Linked DNA regions of Cricetulus griseus. The protein of the gene in region 2 purifies or fractionates together with the protein of the main gene of each other region. This does not show direct contact. Links are inferred from orthologs where the notes say so. Each region holds a gene or a part of one and is shown on either strand. Other genes may lie near its edges.

The links.
Region 1: the proteins of Rprd1b (region 2) and DNA-directed RNA polymerase II subunit RPB11-a purify together in Homo sapiens (affinity purification with mass spectrometry; 3 studies listed by BioGRID and IntAct, counting the BioPlex papers as one, with this or other methods). This does not show direct contact. The link is inferred for Cricetulus griseus from reciprocal best matches to the Homo sapiens genes RPRD1B and POLR2J.

What each region holds. Positions count from the first base shown.
Region 1 is NC_048597.1:115,110,732-115,115,270, reverse strand, and holds the start of DNA-directed RNA polymerase II subunit RPB11-a, read right to left. Parts: upstream 2,816-4,539; 5' UTR 2,712-2,815; coding exon 2,659-2,711; intron 1,061-2,658; coding exon 971-1,060; intron 1-970. UniProt on the Homo sapiens protein: Core component of RNA polymerase II (Pol II), a DNA-dependent RNA polymerase which synthesizes mRNA precursors and many functional non-coding RNAs using the four ribonucleoside triphosphates as substrates.
Region 2 is NC_048599.1:21,544,893-21,549,297, forward strand, and holds the start of Rprd1b (regulation of nuclear pre-mRNA domain-containing protein 1B), read right to left. Parts: upstream 2,877-4,405; 5' UTR 2,520-2,876; coding exon 2,369-2,519; intron 1,397-2,368; exon of another isoform or gene 1,266-1,396; intron 1-1,265. UniProt on the Homo sapiens protein: Interacts with phosphorylated C-terminal heptapeptide repeat domain (CTD) of the largest RNA polymerase II subunit POLR2A, and participates in dephosphorylation of the CTD by RPAP2. Transcriptional regulator which enhances expression of CCND1.

The DNA.
Region 1 (4,539 bases), on a different chromosome or scaffold from region 2:
TCCTGGCTATCCTGGAACTCAATGTAGGCCAAGCTGGCTTTGAACTTACAGAGATCTGCCTGCTGTGGTTAAAGGCACAAACCACCAGACCCAGCACATTACATGCAGGGAAGGCTGGAGAACTGGATTAGTTAAAAGGTTTCCAGCACCCATGTGGCATCTAACCACCTGTACCTCCAGCTCCAAGGGATCTAGTTCTTTCTGACCTTCATGGGTAACAGACACACGGTAGACATACATAGGCAAAAGGTGTTTTAAATTTAAAGAAAGTATTGCTCTTGGAGAGGAGCCAGAGTCAATTCCCAGCACTCATGTCAGGTGGGGACCGTCTGTCACCCCCCCAGCTCTGAAAGCACTGGCAATCACCCAGTAACAAAAGTTTGGTAATCTGCCGATGCCTGCAGCTTTCTATCAAATGTAGGGGTAAGTGAGGTGACACTGCTGGCCCCCTTTGCTTTATCTTTTTGAGATACTGTATGTAACTGGCTGTCCTAGAGCTTACTATGTAGACCAGGCTGGCTCTGAACTCACAAGTACTCCATCTGCCTCTGCCTCCCGAGTGCTGGAATTACAGGTGTGTACCACCATACCCATCACCTCTTAGCATCTTGATGCCCACTAAAATGAAAACCTGCTTTGCTGGAGTCCCCTGAACTTGATCTTGGCCAAAAGACCAAGAGGCAACTGCAAACTTATACACTACATGAATGAGCCAACAGGAAGCTGATGTGTTACGTGTTACGTGGCCAGGATCCCGGCAACCATGGTAAGGTGAGTCAGTTTGAGTCCAGTCTACACTACATGAACCCCTACATCAAAAAGCCAACAAAAGCAAGCCGCATGTGAACAGACCTGTCAGTGACAGGTTAAAGTGCCAGCAAGCTGCGGAGAGACGGAAGGAACCGTCCCAGGGCATGTGCTCAGCCTACAGAGCTCTGGTGACACTCGAGGCCTCTGGCCTGGGACTTACGATTTGATGATGTTCCCCAGAGTGTGGTCTTCTTTGTTGATGGTGAACAGGCAAGCATTGGGCACCTTTGTGTCCTTGTTAATGGTGATTCTACAATGAGACAGGCAAAGGCTGAGGGTGATAGCTTTCCCTGGCCCCACATCCAGCTCTTGTGATGCTGACACTGATTCTCAAATCGGTGTCCCCTTTGTGATCAAACATTCTAGAAACTGCAGTTGGGCTGTTCCCACTACCCCAGAAACAAAAACATCCAGCTCTTTCCCTCATACAAATTGGTTGTCTTAAACTAGCTCTTGACTAAATTCTTTCCTAGAAGACAGAAAACAGCTTGTCTCCAAACCCCCTAACAATTCAAGGGAGGCCATCATTCTGCAAGTCCCACTATCCCCAGTCTGCTCGCCCCAAAGGGCTCTCTGAGAGCTCTGGCATGGTTCAATGGGTCACCATTTATCTCAAATTTTTAAGGCTCTGGGTTTCATCCTACCACTCACTCCCCCTCCAAACAAAACAAGCAAGGTAGGCCTGCTGGGACTAGTCACTGGGACTAGTAATCCCAGTGACGGGGGCAGGAGGGCAGAGAAAAACACTGTCATCCTTGCCTTCCTTGACAGACCATGCTGGCTGACTCCTATCTACACTTCCACGTCCCTGGAGGAGCAATGAAGTAGGCACATTGCACAGCTTTGACACGGCTTCTGGAGATCCACACCAATCCTCAGCAAATGCTTTGAGCTGTGACCCACTGAGCCATCTCCCCAGCCTAGCAAATGTTGGGCAGGGGGAGCTGGAGTGAGCCAGGCAGTGGTGGAGCACACCTTTGATCCAGCGCTTGGGAGGCAGAGGCAGGAGGATCTCTGTGACTTCGAAGCCAGCCTGCACTACAGAGCGAGTTCCAGGACAGCCAGAGCAACACAGAGGAAACCCTGTTTTGAAAAACCAAAAGAAAACTACAAAAAAAAAAAAAAAGCTCGAGTGTAGCTTATTGATAGAGCAGTAACCTAGCATGGGCCAGACCCTGGGTCCAGTCCCCAGCATGACCAAAACAAAAAAACAAGGAACCTTCTCTACTCCGTGATGGCACCTTATCTATACACACCAAGGACCCTTTCCCACACAGGATTGCTCCTTTTTTCTTTTTCAGAACGGGATTTCTCTTGGTCCTGGAACTACCTCTATAGACCAGGCTGGCCTTGAACTCAGAGATCCGTCTGCCTGTGCCTCCTGAGTGCGTCATTAAACCGTCGAGTCCTGAAATTCTTTCTAGTGTTGAAGCCACGAACCTGAGTTTGGCCGAGATCCCTGAAAATCTAGAGGAAATCCTCAGGCTGCTGAGGAGTGTGAGAGGGTAGCTGTGTCTCGGTCCCTTCACCGCTACCATCATTATCCTCCTGCCTCAGTCGCCAAGTCCTGGAATCACAGGCGATCGCACCCTATGCAGGGGGGTGAGCTCTAAAGCCATCGCTGCGCAGCATGGATAATGGGGCTGCAGACCAGTGAAAAGGGAGCCTGACACTCTGAGTTCGAATACAGTCCCCGACACTTCCTAAGTGTCTGGAGCAAGGGCTCGACGTGCCCCGGCCTCAGTTTCCCCGCTGTAACACAGGCGTACATCGCACCACCGCCTGAAGTTCGGCAGACGCGCACGAAGCACAGTGCTCACCGCGCCAGAGCTAACGGCCTCCACTTACTTCTTCTCGCCCTCGAAGAGCAAGAACGACTCGAAGGCCGGAGGAGCGTTCATCCTAGAGGTGCGCTCCGGCTCCCAGACTCAAGCCGCAGCCGCCGTTACCACACTGAGCTCCGGACCGCGACCACTTCCGGGTCACGAGGACACAGCCAATCAAAGCCCCTGGCCCCGCGCCCCCTGGTGGACCGGATGACCTTCGGCAGGCACGAGCAGGCGAGGCGGAGCAGGTTAGAAATCCTGTCCAAACCCCAGGGGCAGCACCTCCCAGCACAGGAGGCAGAGCCAAGCGGATCTCTGTGGTTTCGAGGACAGCCTAGTCTACAGAGTGAGTGCCAGGATAGGCTTCAAAACAACACAGAGAAACCCTGTCTTGAAAACAAAACAAACAAAAAGAAAAAAAAAAAAGTGGCTTTCACCAGGCGGCTCTTTGGCGCATATTCCAGCGAGGGAAGGCTGGGCCACCTGCAACTGGCTCACTGAGCTGGAATCCAAGCTGTGTATGTGTATGAGCTGCTGCTGCAGGACCCCGGCTGGCTGGATGAGGAGCAGGAAGGTGTGTAAAAGTGACAGGGTGCCAGCGGATCCTCTGTTGGACACACAGGTAACCAAAAAACAATGACAGCCTGGCACCTCTCTGCTTTTCAGCCGTCTTTGTGGCTATTGTGGCTATTTTTCCTATTTTTAAAGATTTCTATCTGCCTGTCTGTGCAGAACGTACATACAGGAGCCTTTGGAGACCAGCCTTGGAGGTGCTGGGAACCCAACTCTAGTCCTGAAAGAGTAGTCAGTCTTTAACTGCTGAGCTATTTCTCCAGCCTCCATGATGGTTCATTTTGTCAACCTGATGAGATTTAGTATCATTGTGGAAACAGACAAGTGGGCCAGCAGGACAGTCCAGTGGGTAAAGATAGTGTCACCAAGCCTGACTACATGAGTTCAATCCCCAGGACCCATGTGGGAGAAGTTGAGAACCAATTCCTCTGACCTCCCTGTGTACACACAATGTATATACAAACAAAACAAAACAAAAACTTCTGAGTGTGTTGGTGAGATTCTAGACAGGTTTAACTGAGGAAGGAAGGACTCACCATTAAGGACTCACCATTAAGGACTCACCACGTGCATGATGCCATCCTAGAGGCTAAGCCCTCAGACTGAATAAAAGAGGAAAGGAAACCATCTTGTTCTGCTTCCTGGATGCAGGTGGCAATGTGATCAGCTGCCTGGCACTCCTGTTGCTATGACATCCCAACCCTTCCTGAGGATGCTTCTGTCGGGTTTGTAGACACAGCAACAGGAACAATAACTCAGTCTCCTAGTCTTTGGAGTAACAGGTATGAGCCAGCCTAGCCATTGGTACATGAGCACTAAAACTTCACTGTATAACATGGAAGATGGCAGTGCCACCAGGGGACAAGTGAAGACAATGCCAGGTGCCAGAGGGCTTTGGAACCCTTCAAACACCAATCACATCATGCTCCCCCTTGCTCTGCATATTGACTTGTTATCCCTGGAGTGTCTACCTAAGGACCATTGATACCTAGCCCAGCTCATCCTCCTTCAAGGCAGAAGGCACAAAGATAATGCAGGCATCTTCCTCGGCTTTTATGTCTCCTTTCAAACTCAGAAGAAGAAGGGGGAGGAAGAGCAGGAAGTCATCCAAGGTTCTCCAGTCACAGCCCTAAGCTTGTAGTCACCTTTGATTCTAGGAAAAGCAGAGCTTTGAAGGCAGATTACCCCATGAGGAGGAGGAGTTATCTCATGGGAAGGAGCTTGACTCTTCAAACCAGAGCTGAGACAATGAGAAATCAGGCCATGCCTTGACCAGTACCACTTAATTATTGTTTGTGTTGGTCGAACCGTTTATGACGTAGGGCCTTAT
Region 2 (4,405 bases):
AACACACACCTCAATGCTTGAGGAAGAACTCCAGTTCTGCAAGATCCAATCTGGTAGCCATCAGCCATGGGTGGACAGTCAACATTTGACTGAGCAAATAAAACTGGGGAACTTAATCATTTTATTCAAAAGTATAGTTCCTTTGTCACCATTTTAAATGGCCAATATCCACATGTAGTAAGTGGCTACCCTGTGGAAAACACATACTACAATACCGAGACTGCCACAGATAGCTGAAGCAATGCTGCTTAGATCTTTAACTCAAATATGAAAACATCAGAGGCACAACTAAACTACTAAACTAATTTTTAACTAGGTAATAGACAAATTCTAAGCACATTAGAAGGCCTTGATTAAAACAAACCTAGTGAAAAAGACTAACCAAGAATGAAGTAAAGGTAAAGGACGGGATGGGATGGGACGGGAGAGAATATTCCACAGAGGAGAGCTAGCTGCACTCAGCCCACCTTCACTCATTAATACCACTAGGGACTTGAAAAGGTCCAAGTCTTGGATATCAGTCCTCCTTGGGTGCATGTCCTAGCTACAGACCCCTGAACAAGCCACTGATCTTGCTGTATCTATAAAATGGGGACAGGAATGCCAGCCTACTTGCTACAAAAGATTCTATCAGGTAAGATTAGAGATAAAGAAGCTTCAGCAATGAAAGTATTCTCTAGATTACTATTTTTCAAGAACTCAAACAGGGTACAGTAAGGAACTGAGAAGGGTTCGCAAAAGAAAGTTGAGATGGGCCTACAATTTCAAGATGATCAGGAGATTCTACCAAACAGAATTCAGCAGAGGTCACTGGCAGTTTTCTCATATCTCCCCAGATGTTGTAGATACACAGTCTGGTACAGCAGACTGGGCACCCCAGGCTCTACCTAACTGCTCCAGAGAGCTGAAGGGATTCCTATCTCAGTATAGCAAATCATAACTGGGAGGTTCTGCAAGAGACCTAGAGTCTAGATTCCTGAAAAAAAAAAAAAAAAAAAAAAAAAATCCAGGATTCTGGTGCCTGCATAGCCTCTCTAGTTCAAAGCCCTTGAATATACCATCATCCACTTCAGTTTCCTCATCTACAACAAAGGGTGCTACCTACCTCAGAGAGTAGAGACACACATGGAGTTACTTTCCACTACACTTCCTCAGCACAATGTGAGTTAGCATTGTATGTGCTATGCTCACTGCTCCACCCCAAGTGCAGCCACCTGAAGGCAAAGACCAAGTCGAACACGGGGCAATCAATAGTCCTAACTCACCATTTCTACTGCAAGCCTGCACTGTGCCTACAGCACACTAAATGTTTACTGGATTATCCTGGCTTCTTATCTCAATCGGCTTTGTCGAACCCTGGGGTTTCCCATCTTCAAGGTTCCTACTTCAAAACGCCCTGAGAATTAAAAGAACAAAACAACAAAAAGAACCATGGAGTATAGTGGCACATGCTGTTAATCCCAGCATTTGGGAGGCAGAAGCAGATGGATCTCTGAGGCCAACATGGTCTACGTAGGGAGTTCCAGGCCAGTGCAGAATAAATAGTGAGGCCCTGTCCTGAAGCAAAAACAAAAGCAACCTACATACAGTGGCATATGATAAAGCCACGGCAATACAAATTATTACCATCTCCATTTTCTAAAGAAGGAAACACAAAGAGCACAGAGGTTAAGCTGTTGGGGTAAGTGGCAAAGACAGGCTTAACTTCCAAATAGATGCCAGAGATAACTTGCTATTAAGAGTCCAACACGGGGCCTGGAAAGTAACAGGCAGAGCTCACTCAATGAACATCAGATTCTGCGAGTCTGAATTTACTGGCAAGTGCAGAAGGCTACCCAGTTTACAGGGCTGTTCTGAAGTCTATGGATAGTGACTGACATGGAGTAAAGGCTTTTTTGTAAGTACAACTAACTTTGTGTCCATTTTACAGGTAAGAATACACAGACCTAGGGATATTAAGAGACATGCCCAATATTACTTAGCTAGAAAGTTGTTTGCACCAGGTCTCATTGTAGAGAACGCTGGATCTTACTCCAAATGCCCGTAACAGGGTCTGGTGCGTAATGCTCCAAGCTCCAAGAACAGCCAAAATTTAAAAACAAAACAAAAACACAACTGTCGCCAAATGTGAGGGGGAGCCTGAGAAGAAAAGCAGCTTAATTAACTCCAAGTCTGGACATCTGAGCCCTTGGAACCTCAGATGAGTATCTTACATCTTACTGGGCCTCAGTTTCCCTCTCCAAGCAATGCAATAACACTGTCTCCAATCGCAGAGACCCAGGCCTGCATAAGCAAGGCTTAATTAATAAGCAGCTAGAGACGCCTGGGGAACACACCCATGGGAGAGCCCAAGGTTGGGGGTGATCACCTTTGCGGAGCTCGCGGTGCCACACGGAGACGATAGGTCCTGCGTGCTTGCGGTGGTGGATGAGCCACAGGGACAGGGTCTGCACGCTCTGCTGAGAGTTGCTCAGCTCTGAAAGCTTCTTTTCCAGCGCTGACTCTGAGAAGGAGGACATGGTGGCGACGGTGAGGAGCGGCCTGGGCCACCCGGTGAGACGGGGAGATCGACCGCACTCGGCCCAGGCCTCCCCTGACAGGCTGCGGGGCTCTCCGCCGACTGACAGACAGCTAGGGGTATCAGACTGGGGGAGGGGACAGGTCTCCGCAGTAACAGCCACCCGCGCCGCCGCCACAAGATGGCCACCCGACCTCTCACCCCGCCGCCACGGGGTCAAAGGGCAAGGGCCACAGCCGGGCGCCGAGAGGCTTCGGAGCCGGAGGAAAACGATCCTTGGGAAGGGAGCAGCCTCTTTCGGCCTCGCTCAAGAGACTTCGAAGGGGGCAGGCCGAGGAAACAACCCCAGATCCTCGGACGCCGAAAGGCGCTTTAACCGCTCGCGCCCGCGCGCCGGCGTAGTAAGCCTCACGGGAGCCCTTTCTCCCGCTCCCGCAGAACCTTTCTGGCGCCGCGCGGCGCTCTACTTACTCGTCACTTCCGGCTAGGTACAGGAGGCGGGAGAGTGAGGGAAAGACTGGAAGACGAGGTAAGAGTGGCGGGAGCGAGAGGTAGTTCGGCAGTTTAGAAGCGTCCAGAAGCGGATCCTGAGGGGACACTGAGGCAGAAAGCGCGGGGCCCGGGTGTGGGAAGGGCCGCGTCGCTCAGGTGGCTGGCCCAGGCCACGCTGCCCCTCCGTGCCTGGCTCACACACCCCTCCCCCACCCACCACTCCCCCGGGCGCGCTCCTCTGGGTCCTTCAAGACACGTACCCTTTGCAGCCCTCCCTCCACGTTGGCTCTTGTTCTGTCTTCTGAAGTGAGGACCCTTTTCTCACCTGGTTGCTAGGCTCTGGATCAGCCGCCTACTTAAGTCATGGAACTATATCTTCTGTTGTATTGACCTTTTTAAAAAGAAAAAAAAATTGAGGGATGTGGAGAAATGGCTCAAAAGGTAAGAAGAGGGCTGGCTCTGCCAGAATGAGGACCTGAGTTCCATCCTAACAGTCATTAAAAAGCCCAGGTTGGTGGACCAGGTCTGTAACTCCAGTGCTGTGGGGCTGAGGCAGGAAGATCGCTGGAGTTTTCTAGTTGCCAGCTTAACTCCAGGCTCAGCGAAAGACCCGATCTCAAAGGAATAAGATGGAGAGTGATTGAGCAGGACATCTGACATCCTCCTCTGGTCTCAGTGCGTGTACCCCCCCCCCACACACACACACAAAAAAAAATGTACAATTTCCCTGATCGTTGTTAAACTTATTTGTAGGCCCATCCCAGACTAGAAGACATTCCTGGTTTTTATTTTTTCTTCTTCTTTTCTTTTTTCTTTTCTTTTTTTTTTTGTTTTGTTTTTTGAGACAGGGTTTCTCTGAGTGGCTTTGGAGCCTATCCTGGCACTCGCTCTGGAGACCAGGCTGACTCACACTCACAGAGATCCGGCTGCCTCTGCCTCCCTAGTGCTGGGATTAAAGGCATGCCCCACCAACGCCCGGCACCTGGTTTTCTTATTTGCTTTGTTCTAAGTGTACATGCTTTGACCCCCTCACCTGGACTACATCACGATCATAGCTAGCACAGTGAGAAATTGCTATGTGCTAGACATTTTTCAAAGTCTCATGGTTTAACAAATGAAAACAGACGGTTAGAGAAGTATAGTGAGCATGTAAGTTCCAAGATCACATAGCTAAGATCTGAGTGAAGAGAGTGTATCCTAGTGTGTCCCAGCATCTGGGATCAAAGCTGAGTTCATAGCTGATTGAATGAATTAACATAAAAGTCAGCACCTACTCATAATTATAAGCTGGAGCTTTTGAACTAGGTGTGGTGGTGAACACCTTTAATTGCAGCACTTAGGAGGTCGAGGCAGGTGGATCTCTGGGAGTTCGAGACCAGCCTAGACTATATAGTG